Linked DNA regions of Oreochromis niloticus. The protein of the gene in region 2 interacts with the protein of the main gene of each other region in a pairwise test. Links are inferred from orthologs where the notes say so. Each region holds a gene or a part of one and is shown on either strand. Other genes may lie near its edges. The genes, in order: ptk6b and fcho1.

Region 1 (7,833 bases), on a different chromosome or scaffold from region 2:
TGACATACGGGAATAGCCACGCTTTGCACACTTCCCATTCTGCTGAAGCAATAAACTGTGAGTGAGAACGGCAAAACGAGAAGTGGTGAGCTGACCGTCGGTGTGTGCGTCCCAGTTTGCATCACAGCTGAAACACAAACACGGGCTGGTGTGATGTAAAGCTGTGACATTTCTCATGGTGCTCACAGCGTACGGCTCAGTCAGGATCAATTAAAGCTGCCACTGTTGGACAACCACAAAAATAAACGAGCAGCACAAAGTGTGACGTTATAAAGACGAGCAGCTCGCTGGCGTTTTATCACACTGTAAATAGAAGACGGATGTAACTTGTTTATACTTTCACATTTTGAAGCCTCAGTCCATTTCCTGAGGGGAACATGTTTGGATGAGCGGGTGGAGCGCTAAGTTATCAGCTGATGCTATCTGGGTCAGCACAGACTCTATGGGTGCATCACTCAGACACCTGCTGATCCATAACATCCAATCAAAATACTAGAATTTCACTCAGCAAACTTGGAGCTCCACCTTCTTGGATGCTCTGTTAGTACAGTAACCTCACAGCAGCCATAATACTGGTCACATGATGTCATTAATAACAGAGGTCTGACTAAAAGCCTAGCAGACAGCTAGCAGCTACAGCCGCCTGTGTCACCACCACCTGTCAGTCAATGAGGCCACGCCCCAATAATGCAAACTCGAAGAAACAAAATATCTCTAGGGACCAACAAGTTTGTGCATCAGGCTGCAAACATGTTTATTTCGGCTGCAAAGTTTTAACATGAGAGACTCGTTGCTGGAGCCCCTGCTGGACGTTACAGGAACTGCAGCTTTTGAAGCTTCAGTTTTTTTTGTTTGTGTTTTTTAACAGGTCAAAAAGATGATTAACAGCATCCAAATATTCATATCAAACGTTAAAAAGCTGAGCGTTAATAACATTTAACCTTCATAATGTGAACTGTTCATTTTTTCACCTAAAGCAGAGCTGTCAAACTCCAGTCCTCCAGCGCTGCTGTCCTGAAACTTTTCCATGTATCCCTGCTGCAGCACACCTGGATACAATAAGTAGGTCATTAGCAAGACTCTATAGAACCTGACTGCATGCTGAGGTGACAACCCCCAACCCTACTCAAGTAAATTTAAATACAAGTGTTTGGAAAAAAAGTACTTTTATTGCACCATGTTCAGCCACTCATGAGCTGCTGTAACATGAATCAAATGGCTGAACTGCCACCTCAGCATGCACTCAGGTTCTATAGAGTCTTGCTAATGACCTACTTATTGTATCCAGGTGTGCTGCAGCAGGGATACATGGAAAAGTTTGGAGTTTGACACCCGTGACCTAAAGCGTCTGATTAGCGGGGCTGCTTTTAACGCTCCGTGCTGACTGCCTGCATCTTTTCACAGAAGTGACAGGAAAGCAGAACTTACAGAAACTTCCACTTTTAGGCAGAGCTGTAAACAGGACGCACATGCCCACTTTACTGCAGTAGAAAACAGCCGTTTGACTCCCAAAGTGCCTTTTTACAGCACTCTGCTTCACTGCTCACCTCAGTTTTACTAATGCGATAAAGGATAAATGTGTGATAAGGTGATAAAGGTTAAAGGAAGCGTTTACAGTTCCTGGCAGGTAGGTGGACATTGTGGACTCTGGCTGATAATAAAGGTGTTACACATCCTGATTTATGCATCTGCAGCTGGAGGCACAGCAGCCTCGTGAACATAATAAAAAACGAGATTCTGAATGTGGGCTCACACACACACACACACACACACACACACACACACACACACACACACACACGTGTGTGCAGGTGAAGCAGCGTCTTTGTTCCACTGAACTGTCAGCTGTCTGCTCAGATAAAATGAGTTTCTGCCTTTGAGCTGGAAATCTTCTAGCTTTCCTGTCAACACCTTTACCTGTTCTGTGACATATTAATCAGAAATTACTGTGACACTTTTCTGAAGTATACACTTAATGTACTCGTACATTCTTGAAAAACCACTCTGCTGCTTCATTCTTGTGCTGCGTCACATTTTCAGTGTAAACATTTAGAAGCTTTAGTGTCTGCCTGTTGTACTGACTTTATGGTGTGAATCATATGATGCTGTGTAAATAAAGCTGCCCCAGTGTGGAGGTCATTAAATCCCCTGCAGCTGCTGCATTAAATCAAATCATGGATGATTATACTGCCACACTTTGTGCTGAAGCTTTGCTCCTGTCGGGTTTGAGTGTAAACTCTGTGTTGGACAGGAGAAGCTCAGAGATGAGACACCTGAGCTGTCTACTCTCGGGGCTGGATCAGGTGTGTTACCCCTGAAACAATCCTGGAAATGTCCTGCTCTACTCCTGCGACACAGACACGCCACGTGCTTCTGTCTAACGCGGACACCGGGATGGCCCTCGGAGCTCCCAGAGGCGAGAGCTGCTCTCTGGGAGCCGTCAGAGGAAGCTGCACTCACGGCTGCACGTTGATGGACTCTGCCCTCGCCAGGTAGTTGTTGGGGACGATGCCCTGCGCCACGACGTGCCCGTTGCGGTCGATCTTCCGCGCCGTCCACCAGTCTCCGCTGCGGCTGACCACCCTGAACAGGTCTCCCTCCTGGAAGGACAGCTCCTCCTGGTGCCGGGACTCGAAGGGCCACATGGCCGTGTAGATGCAGCTGCCCTCGGAGGCGGTCTCCTTCGGGGGCTTCGGAGGCGGCGTCGGGGCCTGGGGCTGCTCCCCGTCGCTGTCGCTGCAGGTGCCTCTGCGTCCTCCTCCTCCATCCTCTTCTTCACCTCCTGCTCCTCCCGCTGGCTGAGGAGCCTTCTTCTCCGTGAGGATCCTCTCCCACAGTGACTGCAGGCAGGGGCACGCTCTGCGCAGACACTCACCCATGGGTGACCATGAACGGCTCCGCGCGGGCTGTGCGTCACCGCAGCTCGGCTCAGTCAGCCCGCCACACCTGTCCGACAGGTGCAGAGCAGGGAGCGCGGAGAATGTCGGGAATGCCTGAGAGGGGAACGGCGCAGTGAAACTGTACGGGCCGAGCCCACGGAGGGACTTCCTTTAGTCACAGAAACCACGGGAGCCCCGCCCCCAGAGGGTGTCATCAATCTGCGCGCGCTCACACACACACACACACACATCGGGGTTTTACAGGTGCGCAGGTGTCTTGCCAAGGTACCCCGCACGCTCAGCTCGCGGGTTACAGCAGGACGTGGTGACAGCATTTCATGTCCACATGATTCACTTACCTGATTTTTTCTAAAATGTGCCAAATATGTACAACAAAGTAATTAAATGATGTGTTTAAGTGTTTGCAATTATTTAAACATAAATGAAATGCGTTTCAAATATGATTTTTTTTATTTTACACACCTTTTCGGTGACACACGCTCAATTTCATTGTGTCCCACAGTGCCCTTATTAACTTCCTCCAGACGTATATGTCATAAAATTATATATATCAATTTGATAGACTATACTAAGCTTTATTTTATTATGCAATTGAATCTGATAAAACTTATTTACTTTTTTCTTCATAATGTACTTGTCCCAGTAGTAATTTTCCACCCTGCTAGAATGTGCTTTATTACCTTAATAAGCCCATAAAAGCCATTTACAGGAAGTGGCATCATTTGTTTTTGGTGGGAATTGAACTGTGGAAAATGAGGTAAACTTCAACTGTCACTTTACTTTTTTCATCTTAAACATTTTACACCTGTATGGGTCAACCTCAAGTTTCCACCCTGTTAAGGTCAAATGAGGAAAATGTTAATTAAGTAGAATATTTTTAAAAAACATGTTGGATTGAGTTAATAAAGGTGTGTTCATTTATTGACGGTTAGCTGGCTAAATGTTGATCAGCTAAAGAGCTACAGCTAGATTAGCTAAACAAATTCCACCCTGTTAGGTTCATAGACTTAACAGGGTGGAATTTGGGGGGGAACTATCACGTGAAAATGATAAAAAGAGAGCAATAATTATTATTGTTATCATTAATTAATAACAAAGAGAGGAAAGATAGTCAGAACTGAGGGGATCGAACAACCAGAAGGCAACATTGCAGACATAGAGGACAGATACAAGTGACTAGGGGCGGATCTAGAAGGGTGGCATGGGGTGGCAAGTGCCACCCTAAAATGATCCCTTGCCACCCCAAGTGCCACCCCAGTTTTGCATATGACAGTGTTGTTTATTAAAATAAGATAGCATTAACAGTTTGAGCGTAGTTACAGTCAACAGTGAATATAAATGCTAAAACTGAATATATTGCATAGTGTTCCCCCCTCCACCATTAACAAATGGTTCAGCCCATAGCAGGACCGGCTTTTTTCTTGTTATCAGCAGCAAGCGATGCTCATGATTGTGCCAGAGCACATTTTGAACAACACCATGGGAATTTTGGATTTTGCACAGGTGGTTGGATGTTACACTCTGGAAATGGAAGCAAGGTGAGTGTTATTAACCCTCTGTGGTCCACGGACACGCTGCACCTCCAAATCACATGACTGATGTAAGCTGACACAGCAACAAGCTGCAGCCACGCTGAGTCTCTATTTCAGCCCACATTGAAAGTTCGGACTTCCAAGTTTTTACATTTTAATTACAGGCCAGTAAATCCAGAGTTATGATAATATATATAAGCCACGCTTTTTTCTAAATACTGTCGTCACGTTTTTGTGTGTGTGTTTTAAGCGTTTTCTAAGGTCAGCGCGAAAACAGTAAAGAAAGGAAAAGAAGCCACCTCTTTGCTATCAGTGGAAAAATGCACCATGTCGACCAATTTAAAAAAAAAGTCAACATGTGGGATTTTGTTGTTTAGGAAGAGGGGAGAGTTTTGGGAGTGACGGTAACGGCAGCGAGACAGAGCGAGCGAGTGAGAGAGGGAGAGAGAGAGAGGGAGTTTTTAGATGTGGGAGATTTGTGACGTTTAGTGTGGAGTGTATACTTAGTGTGTTGTGTTGTCTTGTGTAGCTGTTCTGTTGTGTAGTCGTTTTGTTGTGTGTGTCAGTGAGGGCACTAATGAATGTCACTAAGGCACATTTGTAAACACTGTCACTAAGTAGAAAACCAGCGGAGTGATACACCTGCTGTTGTCAGGCCTGCAGGTTTGTCCCTGTGCTGCTCTCCTCTGTCTTTTGGTGGAAAAACTTTTTTTACTGGCACACATCATTTGTGAGGCAAAATGTACAATTTATATTTGCATTTCAAGTTATATAAATTTACTCAACATGTCTGTGGGTTTTTTTACAGTAAAAATACTACTAGGATTTTAAGTTCTTTGTGTGATTTCAGATCAGTAATAGTACTATTAATAGTAATAGTAGTACTAATGCAGTATGTCAGTGACAAAAACAACTAAATTCAGTTGAGCTGAAAAGATACCAAACAAGGCAAGGGGGGGGGGGGGAATAAAATGAAACAATCTGAGGGTGAAATACAAACGTAAACTCAAAAGGAGTCAAAAATGGCCGCTTGTATTTCAGACCTCAGAGATCCAACAAATCATGAAAAATTAGGTTTAAATTTTTGTTCATGACAGTGCAGATTTCTGACATTTTGTGTAATTTAAGCTGTAACAATGTGACTGTTTTCTAACCAAAAACAGTGAAACTTAAGTTAGACTTGTGTTTGTAAATGAACTGCTCCATGTTGTGTAGCTTTCTGGATTTTATACTTATTGGGCTACATATTTATTTATTATACAGGCTATACAGTACATAAGATCAAAACTCACATGTTTTATGTAACCAAAGTGTGTAATTATGTGGGCTACAGACAATAATTAAGTTATAGACTATATTTATATGAAAAACGTGTATACTTACTGCATTTGAATCATTTTAACCATATGTAACCACCTGCATATGTGTTTGGAAAAAAAGCCTTGATTTTGCCACCCCATTTGATTTCTTTGCCACCCTCATGCCACCCCAAGAAAATTTGTCTAGATCCGCCCCTGCAAGTACCCACAGGGAATCATGAGGAATACCTCAGGCAGCAGAAACCCAAGACAGAGGAGGAAGAGGAGGAACCATCATGGAAGGACAGGCCCCTGCACGGTATGTACCCCCGGCAGATAGAGGAGGTGGCTGATATCCAGAAATCCTACCAGTGGCTGGACAAAGTTGGACTGAAAGACAGCACAGAGGCACTAATCATGGCAGCACAAGAACAAGCTCTGAGCACAAGATCCATAGAGGCTGGGGTCTATCACACCAGGCAAGACCCCAGGTGCAGGATAGACCGCCCGCAGGGGGGAGAGGGGAATTTCTATGTGGTACTATGGTGTGTGTCACAGTGTTTATATTCTGATGTACTTTTTAATGAACAAATATATATTTCCACCCTGTTTGGAAAAATGTTTTTTAAAAATAATTGAATAGAATCATTAAGAAAATGTCATTGTGAAAATGTCTGTGCCAAGTTGAGAAGTCAGGAACATTAAATGCACAAATATGTATATGTTTTTAAAACTACAAGTATTTTACATGCTGTTGGAAAAAAATGGGTTAAAAATAAATAGTTTTTTGTATAACACAGACTTATAGTATTTGTAATTAAATTACCTGTTACAGTTTCAAGAATAAAACATTATATTAAGAAAAGGGACACACTCTGTCTAAGAAAAAGTGACTATTGATCAATATTTACATGTTTAACTATTTCTGGTCTGGGTGGCCATGTTTAATAAAACTACCTGTAATTACTATTTTATCTATCCTGAGCTTGACCAAAAAGAGAATCAGCCTGGTGTCAGATAATCAGGCGTGGGTGAACTCTCCGAGCAAACGGCTCTGTGCTCGCTTCGTGACGTCACCTGACTGTTAAACAGTTTATTCTGTAAAACACATTTCTTTTTGCACGCTGCTTCTGCTATTTTGACATTTTTCTTTGGTGAAGAGCGCCGAGTCTTTCGTGCTGGGAGGTCTCTGTGTCATCACTATAATCTCAACTACCAGATTCAAGCTCCAAAATGTTGAGATTACTTCAAACCTGCACAGTGCAGGGGGATCTCAACTCTGCGTTTACACCTTGAAGCATCCTGTTGATGTCATATTCTCTTCAGTAAACACAGTGTCTGCTCTAACATCACGTTTCTTATTCCTGCCCACGCTGCCGCCGTCTGTATCAGCTGCACCAGCAGCCCGGTGGTTTCACGTGGTTTCTGCAGTCAGGGGGAATCTACACAGAGCCAAGCTTTGCACCATTCCCCACCTCTCTGTGACTCATGACCACTGATCAGCGGTTATGATCATTAGTGATCTTAAACTGACCTCACGGCCCATTGTTAGTCATTGTGCAAATGTGCTGTTTACAAGTCCAAATGTTTCAGTGGGAGAAACGTTTCGTCACTCATCCCAGTGACTTCTTCAGTCTTGGATGATGATGAAACGTTTCAGTGAAAACGTCCAGATGAACAGAATCAGCTTCCCGGGATCTGGATTCTCTGCTGAGGTGAAGGATCATTTGGAGGGACCGTGGCTGCGCTCGAGCTGGTCTTGGACCTAAAAGGCAGATTTATCTTCACTGCTGCACATTATCTCGCTGGAGATGAGCTGTATGTGTTATATTACAGTGCTGAGTGTGAAACAGATAACTGTTAAAGAAGTGTTTTTGTTTGTTGGCTTACTGTTTTTAAAGTGTTTAGAATTAATATTTTACACAGGTTTAGTTTACCAACAAATATTTATAACAGGCCAAATACTGCAAACATGCTAAGTAGTAGTTTATACAGGGAGTGCAGAATTATTAGGCAAATGAGTATTTTGTCCACATCATCCTCTTCATGCATGTTGTCTTACTCCAAGCTGTATAGGCTGGAAAGCCTACTACCAATTAAGCA
Region 2 (8,547 bases):
CAGCTGGTAAGTTGGCAATGATGAGAAGAACTCTGGTTGCCAACTTCTTCACTGTTCAGTGACGATCAGTGAAGGAGACAGAGCCAGGCAGACGAGCTGGGATGGTTCGTGTGAATCCCAGACTTAAAACCAAATCCAAATAACGAAAAGTCAAATATTTTATACGTGGAAAACAGGACACTGGCAGAACTGTGCAACGTCTCACCGTACAATATTTATCCATATCTCTTGCACAGCACCTGTCCAGCACTCAGACAGCCAGACTTTCTGTCTTCAGCTGCTCCAGAGATAATGCAAAGCCTTACCAGGCACGTAATAATATCTGTAGGTTTGTGTGCTTTTGTCTTGAAAGATGCAGTGTTTCGCACACACACGCACACACACGCACGCACACGCACGCACAGAGGCTTTTACGCTGGGTAACTTGGACTCATTGAAACATTTTTGCCCATCTGTCTCTGATAAACAGAATCCAAGTCTATGTGAAACACTGAATTCCATTAAAAGCTTTTTTTTTCTTCTTTAAAAAAAAAAATATATATATATATATAAATAAACTCATCTTTCTAACAATTCACAGGTTGCTGCCCATAAAAGCCACAAACGTGCCCTCGACCTTGAGTCCAATTGGGCTGAAGATCCATTAGGTGATTACTGTCTGCAGGGTTCGGTAAAAATCACACAATACTCAAGGATGAGCAGCAATTCTGGTTAAAATTGGAAAAATGCCACCTAAAATGACAAGTATGACCTTGACCTTGAATACAGTACGAGTGAAGACTCATTAAGTGATCGGTGCGTACAAGTTTGATTAAATTCTGTTGAATACTGTGGGAAGAGCAGAGATTCTTTGCGACTGCCGTGGTATAAGCTCTTCGCCACATAATCAGCTAAACATCAGCATCTTCACAAGCAACTACTCAGCGAATGCCAAATTAGCTGATTTAAGACTCAACCTATGATGATGGCTTCAGTTTGACCGAACATAATGCACATGAATCTAGATATCATACCGAATATAGACTAAGACTCCCAGGAAGAAAACTCCAATGCAAACACACGCCCTTATAAATGTCTATAACCAAAATACAAAATAAACGCACAACATCAAACGGCCTAATAAAAATGACAAACTTAGACCGCATCGTCATTTATGTTGAAACCAGTATACATGTCCTTCTACATCGAGATCTAACTTTTGGTCCATGTGTAATCAGATTTTTAGGCAGAGATCGGGGGTGTGAACAAACACGCAGCTCAGTGAGTGAATGAACAGCGAGCGATCAAATGCGATCCGTTCTAATGACGTCTGTAAACAAAAGAGTTGAGAATAGAAATCCATTCCTCCCGACGCTGCTGCATTATACTTTATTTAATGATAGTAAAATACCTCCTTTCAGTATTTTCTCTGCATCCCACTCATCCTGACTCACAGTCAGGAGGAAGCAGAACCTTCTTGTAGTCAAGGCACAAGGGAGAGTGTTGTTTACCTCTCTCATATCAAAAGATCCCGGCAGCTTTCAACTCTCAACTCCTGCCACTTGGTTTCAAAGACACGCAGAGAAAGACAGCTGTGCTACAGTCTGAGGTTGCAAACACTGCGGCTCACGCTATACATGTTTGCAAACTAACATAATGTCATGGCGAGAATGTCTATCAGCAGTCAAAAGGGGATTTCCACACAATGGTTTCTTTGGTGCAACCAGACAGTGGTTGATTTGCACCTCAAAAGTGATGCAACAAAATTAAATTAGCTTTTACTTACACCTGAAGATTTTTCACGTCTTTCACCTTTTCAAGTGGATTCAAGATTAGGCTAACACTACTTAATCTACCTTTATTTGACAGCAGTCAACAGAGTGACAGAGAGAACGTGGAGAGAGGGGGTGGATCTGATTTACATGTAGGTTTGCTTGTTTACCGACAATCAGGACATTATGAAACTGCCAATATGTCTTTTTCAGTCTTAACTGAACACTTGAGTTGAGTGTTCAGTTAAGTTGAGTGTTTCACTCATTGTGTTGGCCCAGAATTTCACAAACGTTTAAGACGCTAGAGCAGTCATTTGGCCACCGGCTGATGCTGATTTTTGTTTTATTGGTCTAATATTTTTGTTTTTTATTTGCCCAATTGTTCCAGAGAACTGCCAGTGGCTCTTGCTATCATATTTGCAGATAACCAATATGAGTCAACGGGGCTGGTATCAGCTGATTTCCATGTTCTATTGATATCGTGTTTCAACTCTCGGTTTAGTGTCTTTAAAGGTACAGAAAAGGCATGCAAACTGAAATGTAGCCCACAACCCAGAGAATATGTCCATTTATTAAATGATAAACCTATTGCTTGGAAGTATTAGAAGAAGTCACTCGGTGAATGTCTTCAAGTCACTCGGTGAAGCCTGCTACACTTCTAAGAACTGACAAAGGATATCTAGGACAATACATTTACAGTCAAGTCAGTGAAGCCCCACAGTGGGTGTGAGATCTGTGATGTCCAGCAGTTAACCCAGGACTGGTTCTGATCCACCTTGTGGGCATCCTCACTGGTCACGCACATACCACAGCTGATATTATCAGCTGCTTTCAGGTTATCACAGATATACCTGTACGAGCATACAGTATTTTAAACTCTTAAACACCAGTATCGACACCGGCCTATAAGTCAAAGGTTTCCATGATTGCATAAACTTGTCTAGTAACGATCATCACAACGAAAGACAACCTGCTTCAGCATGCAGGAAACCCCATCTTCGAGCAGTTCACCTCCCAATGACACAACCCTGTGGCAATAAATTCACTCAAGTCCCCCAAATGACTGCAAAGTAGCATCACAGAGCAGAAATAACCTCTCAGTGTGACCCAGGCTATTAAACATGTTTACGTTAGCAGGACCAAAAAACAAAATGCAAGTGCCTCTGCAGTAACATTAAGGTAAAGTTCAGGTTCTGGCCATAGCTTATATTTTATACCCACGTACTTGTCTCACCCAAGTTTCTCCTTCAGCGTTAGCTGGATTTCCCTCGCTTCAGATGTCAAATAAGCGTGTCTACTAGTGCCCGATATTTTTAATAGCGGTAGCACTAGCGCAGTCTTTCTAGGCTATTTCTGCCTACAGTGAATGTCACAAAGGAAGGCAGAAGGAAAATGAAGAATGTATTACCTGCACGGAGTTTTCAGACAAAGCTTATCGCACATTTTCCATCCCCGGGCTTTCAGCGGCTTCGACACTTGAGCGTACCCCGAGCGGTTCTATGTTAGTAGTAGAAATTCACCAGGCAGTTTCCAGTGTGAGCGCAAACTCCCGCCCAGCTCAGCGCTGATTGGCTACTCCTCCCTTCAATCAGAGAGGAACGCGGAGTAGGCATAGCAACCACAAGAAGGCGGGTCTAAAAGTGTACACCGGCAGCCCATTGGATAACTTCTCCACAAAATCGAGAATATGCAATTTAAAACGAACCTTTAGCCTTTATGCGTTTGTACAACAAAATCAACAACAGGTCGGCAAAGTTCAGCCAACGAACAACTTCTGAAGCCTTTAAAAGATGATCGTTTCTGTCTTTATTCTTCATTCTCCTACAGCGTCGCCTTTTGAAACTTTTAAATTTGGAAACGGTAAATATGACCACTCAGACACATTTTCTGTTTCCACATTAGATGTTGCAGCTGTTAATTTAAACCAGGGGCCTCAAACTTAAATGAGCTGTGGGCCCCTGCGGCACTGTCGTCTCATTGGAGGGCCACTTTAGTGTTTAAGTAGTACAAAGAAACAAACAAACAAGAAAACACCCACAAATATTTCTGAAAATGTAGTTTTTTGATTGTTTTTTTACATTTCAAATATTGTATAACAAGACAAAACTGCAAACATTTCACACACACCAGTACCTCATGCCCAGTGAATAAAGCCAAATGCACATATAATGAAGTAGAGCTTTTCTCGGGAAAAGCACTTTTGGCATGTGTCCACTTAGAAATTAAATAATAATAATAATAATAATAATAATTGTAAAACAGAAATTTTCTCTGGGTTTAATTCTTTCACCATGGCTCCTTTATTGAGATCAAACCAACATTTTAAGTCATAAATCCACTGGGAGGTAACCTCCAAATTAACGCACGTATTCTTATTGAATATCTAAAGAACTTTCAAGTTAACTGCAATGTTACATTCCCAAACTGGTTAAACAAATGTGAATTTTCATAAGAGTTGGGCCTTAAACATGTCTATTTCCGTTGTTTTTGAAGTACCATATTCACTAGCTACCTGACTTTGGGAGAGACTACCCTCAGCAGTGCAGGGGGAAAGAAGGGGGAGGAAAAATAGAAACTACTTTAATCTACCAGAGACATCAGGTACATCCATGCATGTGCCCAGAATACCCACTGGATAATCTGGCCCAGGGTACAAGAGTGAGTGTCTGCAGCTGTCTGTATAACATGGTGGTGGCCGTGGTTTGGTGCTGCATTTCAGCCAGTGGTGCTGGAGCGCTTGCATTAAAGCGTTAAAATGTATGTAATTATGAATGCCGAAGAGTATTGTAAGATTTTGCTCCACCATCTGGAAAGCATCTGACTGGCAACAGTTTAATTTTTCAGCATGACAATGACCCAAATACACTGCCAATGCAGTTTTACAGTCATAGATTGGCCTCCCCAGAGCCCAGACCTCAACATTATTGAATCAATGTGGATCATCTTGATCAGAGAACAGAACAAAAGTCAGCAAACGCCCAAAGAAGAGCTTTGAATGTCCTTCAAGAAGCCTAGAAAACTGTTCCTGAACACTACATATACCAAACACTGAATCATACAGACTGTTTTTGCCTTACTCTACTTCCATGGATGCATGCATGTATTTCCACTATATTTCAAATCAATGCACCTATTTCCATTTTCCTGGCAAAATGTAAAGAAATCAGGACTGGCTCAAGGCTTCATTCATTTATCATCTCATGTCACCATCAGAGTCAATCTTAGCTGTAGCACAGTTAATGATGTCTGTGTTTAAATGTCTCTGTTGATGTCTCTGTTTAAAAGAAAATATATATTTTTTTCTAATAAGCATTCTCTGCTCTAACTTTAAAAAGTGTTTAAAAAAGCAGTGATTTAAAGGTTTACAAGTCAGTAGATCATGAAATGAAGAATTAACCTTGAAAGATTAATTTTAAGACATTTCAGGCCTGAATGCATGTGTAAGTGCAGCAATCAAAATATTTTTTCAGCGGGGCAGGTGGCAGAAATATATTAACCCTCATGCCAACCTCCTAATGAAAATCAGATGGTGGAGACACTGACAGAAGGCTTTCAGCAGGTGATGGTTTCAGGCTGACTGACTGCGAGAAGGTAAAACAAGTCTTCTCCATCAGTTCCTCAGTGAGGCCTGTAAAATACACATCAAGCTGATAGAGAGGGTTAAAAGAGAAGTAGACTGCTGATTTTTTCAAAAGATAAGGACACAACTTTATTATATAAACATTCAATATACAATTGTCAGGGTTAAAAATGGTATGAGGGTGTAGTTGTGTCTAATTTCAACATGGCCCACTTCTGCAATTAAAAAAAAATATATACATATATACACATAAATGTGAACTGCAAAAACGCAGGCCCAAACTCAGCATGGGGAGCCTCACATGGGGTCTGTAATGTTTGTGCAGCAGGAGAAACATTTTTCAAATTAAGCCGACTGCAAGCAAGAATGAGCCAAGCAGGAAGAGCAGGAGTTATTTTAATACACAGGTGTGTCCAGACCTGCTGAGAGATGCATCAGGGAACAGCAGCCCTTATTTCTCCGCGATGTATGAAATGCATAAAAGTGTGGCGATGCTTTGGTTGATGCAAAGCTGCTGCCACTCACTGCTGTGCACCTTCACTTGCCCTTTCTGGTGCTGTTATACATCAAAGACACGAGCGGTGAGGGTTTCTCTGCTGGAGACGTTGATGCTCGATTCAACGATAAGCGGTGCAATATTGCAATCCACACCGGGTGCAGGAGAACATCATGTCAAAAGCACTGAAGTGCAGCTCAGCTTTAGTGCTAGAGTTAGTGCTATTTCCTGTGAGATGGTTAGATTAGATCACTTCCACCTTTACAGTTTGCACGAGGCTACAGCGAACCACAAAGTCACGGAAGAAGATATTTTAAGATGTCTTAACGTGAAACATAATAAACAAAATGTACATCACGTCGGGCATTTTTCACGCGTGTGTTGAGAGAAAGAGGATCTGCAGGATGCTGGCACAGAAGCTGTGTGATCGCTCTTTTTGCAAGCAGTGTGACTGGCATTTCCTCCTCTTCCATCTGCAAACACAAATGAAACAGGGGATAATTATCAGAGCCTTTAATCCCCGGCAAAATCTCACAAATAAAATGAAACGAGCTGTTGAATTTAATTACGTATCATCAATCCCTGCCACCTGTTGCTGTGTCTATTCTTATCCCGCTCGACTGTCGCTTCTGACACCGGCTGATGTGCTCTCATTTGTCTCCCTCTAAAGGCTCTTTGTGAACATGTTCTCACTCGCAACATCAGTACTCTTTAAAGATATTTTTAAAGGCGCTGGAACGATTTCAGATGGCACAAAAGGGAGTTTCGTCACCTCATTTTTCTTTTTGCTGTCTGCCTAATTTGGTCTGCTTGAAATGGAGTTTAACAGGAATTGAACTAAAACAGACACAAATTGTTGGCAGGACACGCCTGTTGTTGTATTATTTCTCGTTTCTATTGGGAGATGGCAAGAGTAAATATTATCTAGGTCGAGGTCCACCGTATGCCCACAGGCTCTGCATCACCTCTCCTCCTGTGCGTCTCCCTGCTCCTGCCTCTCAGCGGGCACTTTCAAATCAGCTTAACTCCTGCTTGAACAGGCAGGCAATTAAAGCTGCCGAGACCGAGGATGGAGACCACTGCTGAAAAAGCACACGCAGACAGAACGAGCGTTCTTTCCCCCTCGGTGGTCCTCCAAACTCCCCAGGAGACCCAGAGTGCTATCGATCCATCTGTGGTAATAAGTGCCTTGTGCCACGTCTCAGTGATATCATTGCCTTTGGCTTGCCGTCCCTCTGGGTTGGGATTGTGTCTCTCTGTGGGCTTTGTTGGCCTGTAGAGAGGTGTTTCAGAGAGATGGCTGCTCATGTCTGTGAAGAGGAAGCGACATCTGTCAGTAAAAAAAACTCAAAACGGCTCTTAGATTAAATGATCATTTTTCTTCCGTTGCTTTCAAGAACATCCACCTATTCATGGATACTTTACCTACTGTATGTATTATTTTTTCTGTGCTTATTTTTTTGGATGAGACAAGGAAGCAGATCCTCTCCCTCCATCTCACCCCATCCCTACCATCCTCTTCTGTCACAGCAGGATTCTCCACGTCCTCCTTCACTACAGCCATTAGTCTTCCTCTTTTCCTCCTCCCTAGCAGCCTTCAGCATCCTTTGTCTAATATGTCCACTTTCCCCACTCAACCCAGGCTGTCCCTCTGTCATACTCATTTCTAATCTCTGCCAGCAGTGTAAGTCATTAATTTGCTGTCCATCCAGATAAATTATACATTTTTTTACTCAGTTCTTAAAGCTATCACATTATTGTTTTCGATGTCTTGCAGGAGGGCTACATTTCTAAATTAAAAACTCACTGCACACTGAAATAAGCTTTAAGAGAAGATATCTCTAAGACTGGAAACCTTTTAACCATCCAACTATTATTACGCTGGTTTCTACATGAGTTCAACATTTTGGCAATTACTCCAAAGCGGCACTGAAAGTTGCAGACACAAGGGGGCGTGCTTACTCTACTTTCTAAAATGAACTCAACTTGCACTTCTTCCTGTCACTGGGTTGTTGTTGTTTTGTTCTTATGTTAAGATCAGCCGGTTTAATCTCATTTCACAGTATATGAGTGAGAAATATTTTCCTGTGCGTTGACCCGACTGTTTGGTCGGCTCGGCCACTTCAACCAGATCTTCTTCTTATTATTGGGTTGACAGGAACGTGCTAATGAGCACTTTTCCTCTAACTGAACCATGACATGATGGAAAAATACCACATGCATGATAGGGTCCGTCAAAACAGCCACACAAGGCTCAAATTATTAAAATGTCTTATCTGTTAAGAAGGATGCTGTATGTTCCACTTACAAATAAATAAAAATAAATAAAGCTACAGGCTTGTTGTAGGTTTCTTTCTCTGTGTTTTACAGGTAAAGGTGTACATTTTAAACTGTGTTAATCCTGCAACAGTGTACATGAAAACACAATAAACATTCTATAAATGAAAATACAGAGAAATAAAGTAATATGTTACAAATTCAAATACATTGTTTCAATTTCATTTACATTGAATTTGCTGTGAATTAATTTTACAGTAACTTTAATAAATTACTGTAAATTCCAGTTACAGCAGCAGAGTAAGAAGAGTGTAGAGAATATGTTGATTATGGGTGGAGGGAGTTACAGCCAAACGCAGTCATAGCCTCTTTAAATGCTAAAGATAAACGTGTTTTTGACTGAGACACTGCTAACGCTACAGTGTGTCCCCAACTTGAAGGTC

The links.
Region 1: the proteins of fcho1 (region 2) and ptk6b interact in binary tests that used the Homo sapiens proteins (3 or more experiments, as listed by UniProt). The two-hybrid records come from large-scale screens. The link is inferred for Oreochromis niloticus from reciprocal best matches to the Homo sapiens genes FCHO1 and PTK6.

The regions. Positions count from the first base shown.
Region 1 is NC_031984.2:955,444-963,276, forward strand, and holds the start of ptk6b (protein-tyrosine kinase 6b), read right to left. Parts: upstream 3,118-7,833; 5' UTR 2,880-3,117; coding exon 2,461-2,879; intron 1-2,460. UniProt on the Homo sapiens protein: Non-receptor tyrosine-protein kinase implicated in the regulation of a variety of signaling pathways that control the differentiation and maintenance of normal epithelia, as well as tumor growth.
Region 2 is NC_031981.2:2,372,352-2,380,898, forward strand, and holds the start of fcho1 (f-BAR domain only protein 1), read right to left. Parts: upstream 3,318-8,547; 5' UTR 3,160-3,317; intron 1-3,159. UniProt on the Homo sapiens protein: Functions in an early step of clathrin-mediated endocytosis. Has both a membrane binding/bending activity and the ability to recruit proteins essential to the formation of functional clathrin-coated pits.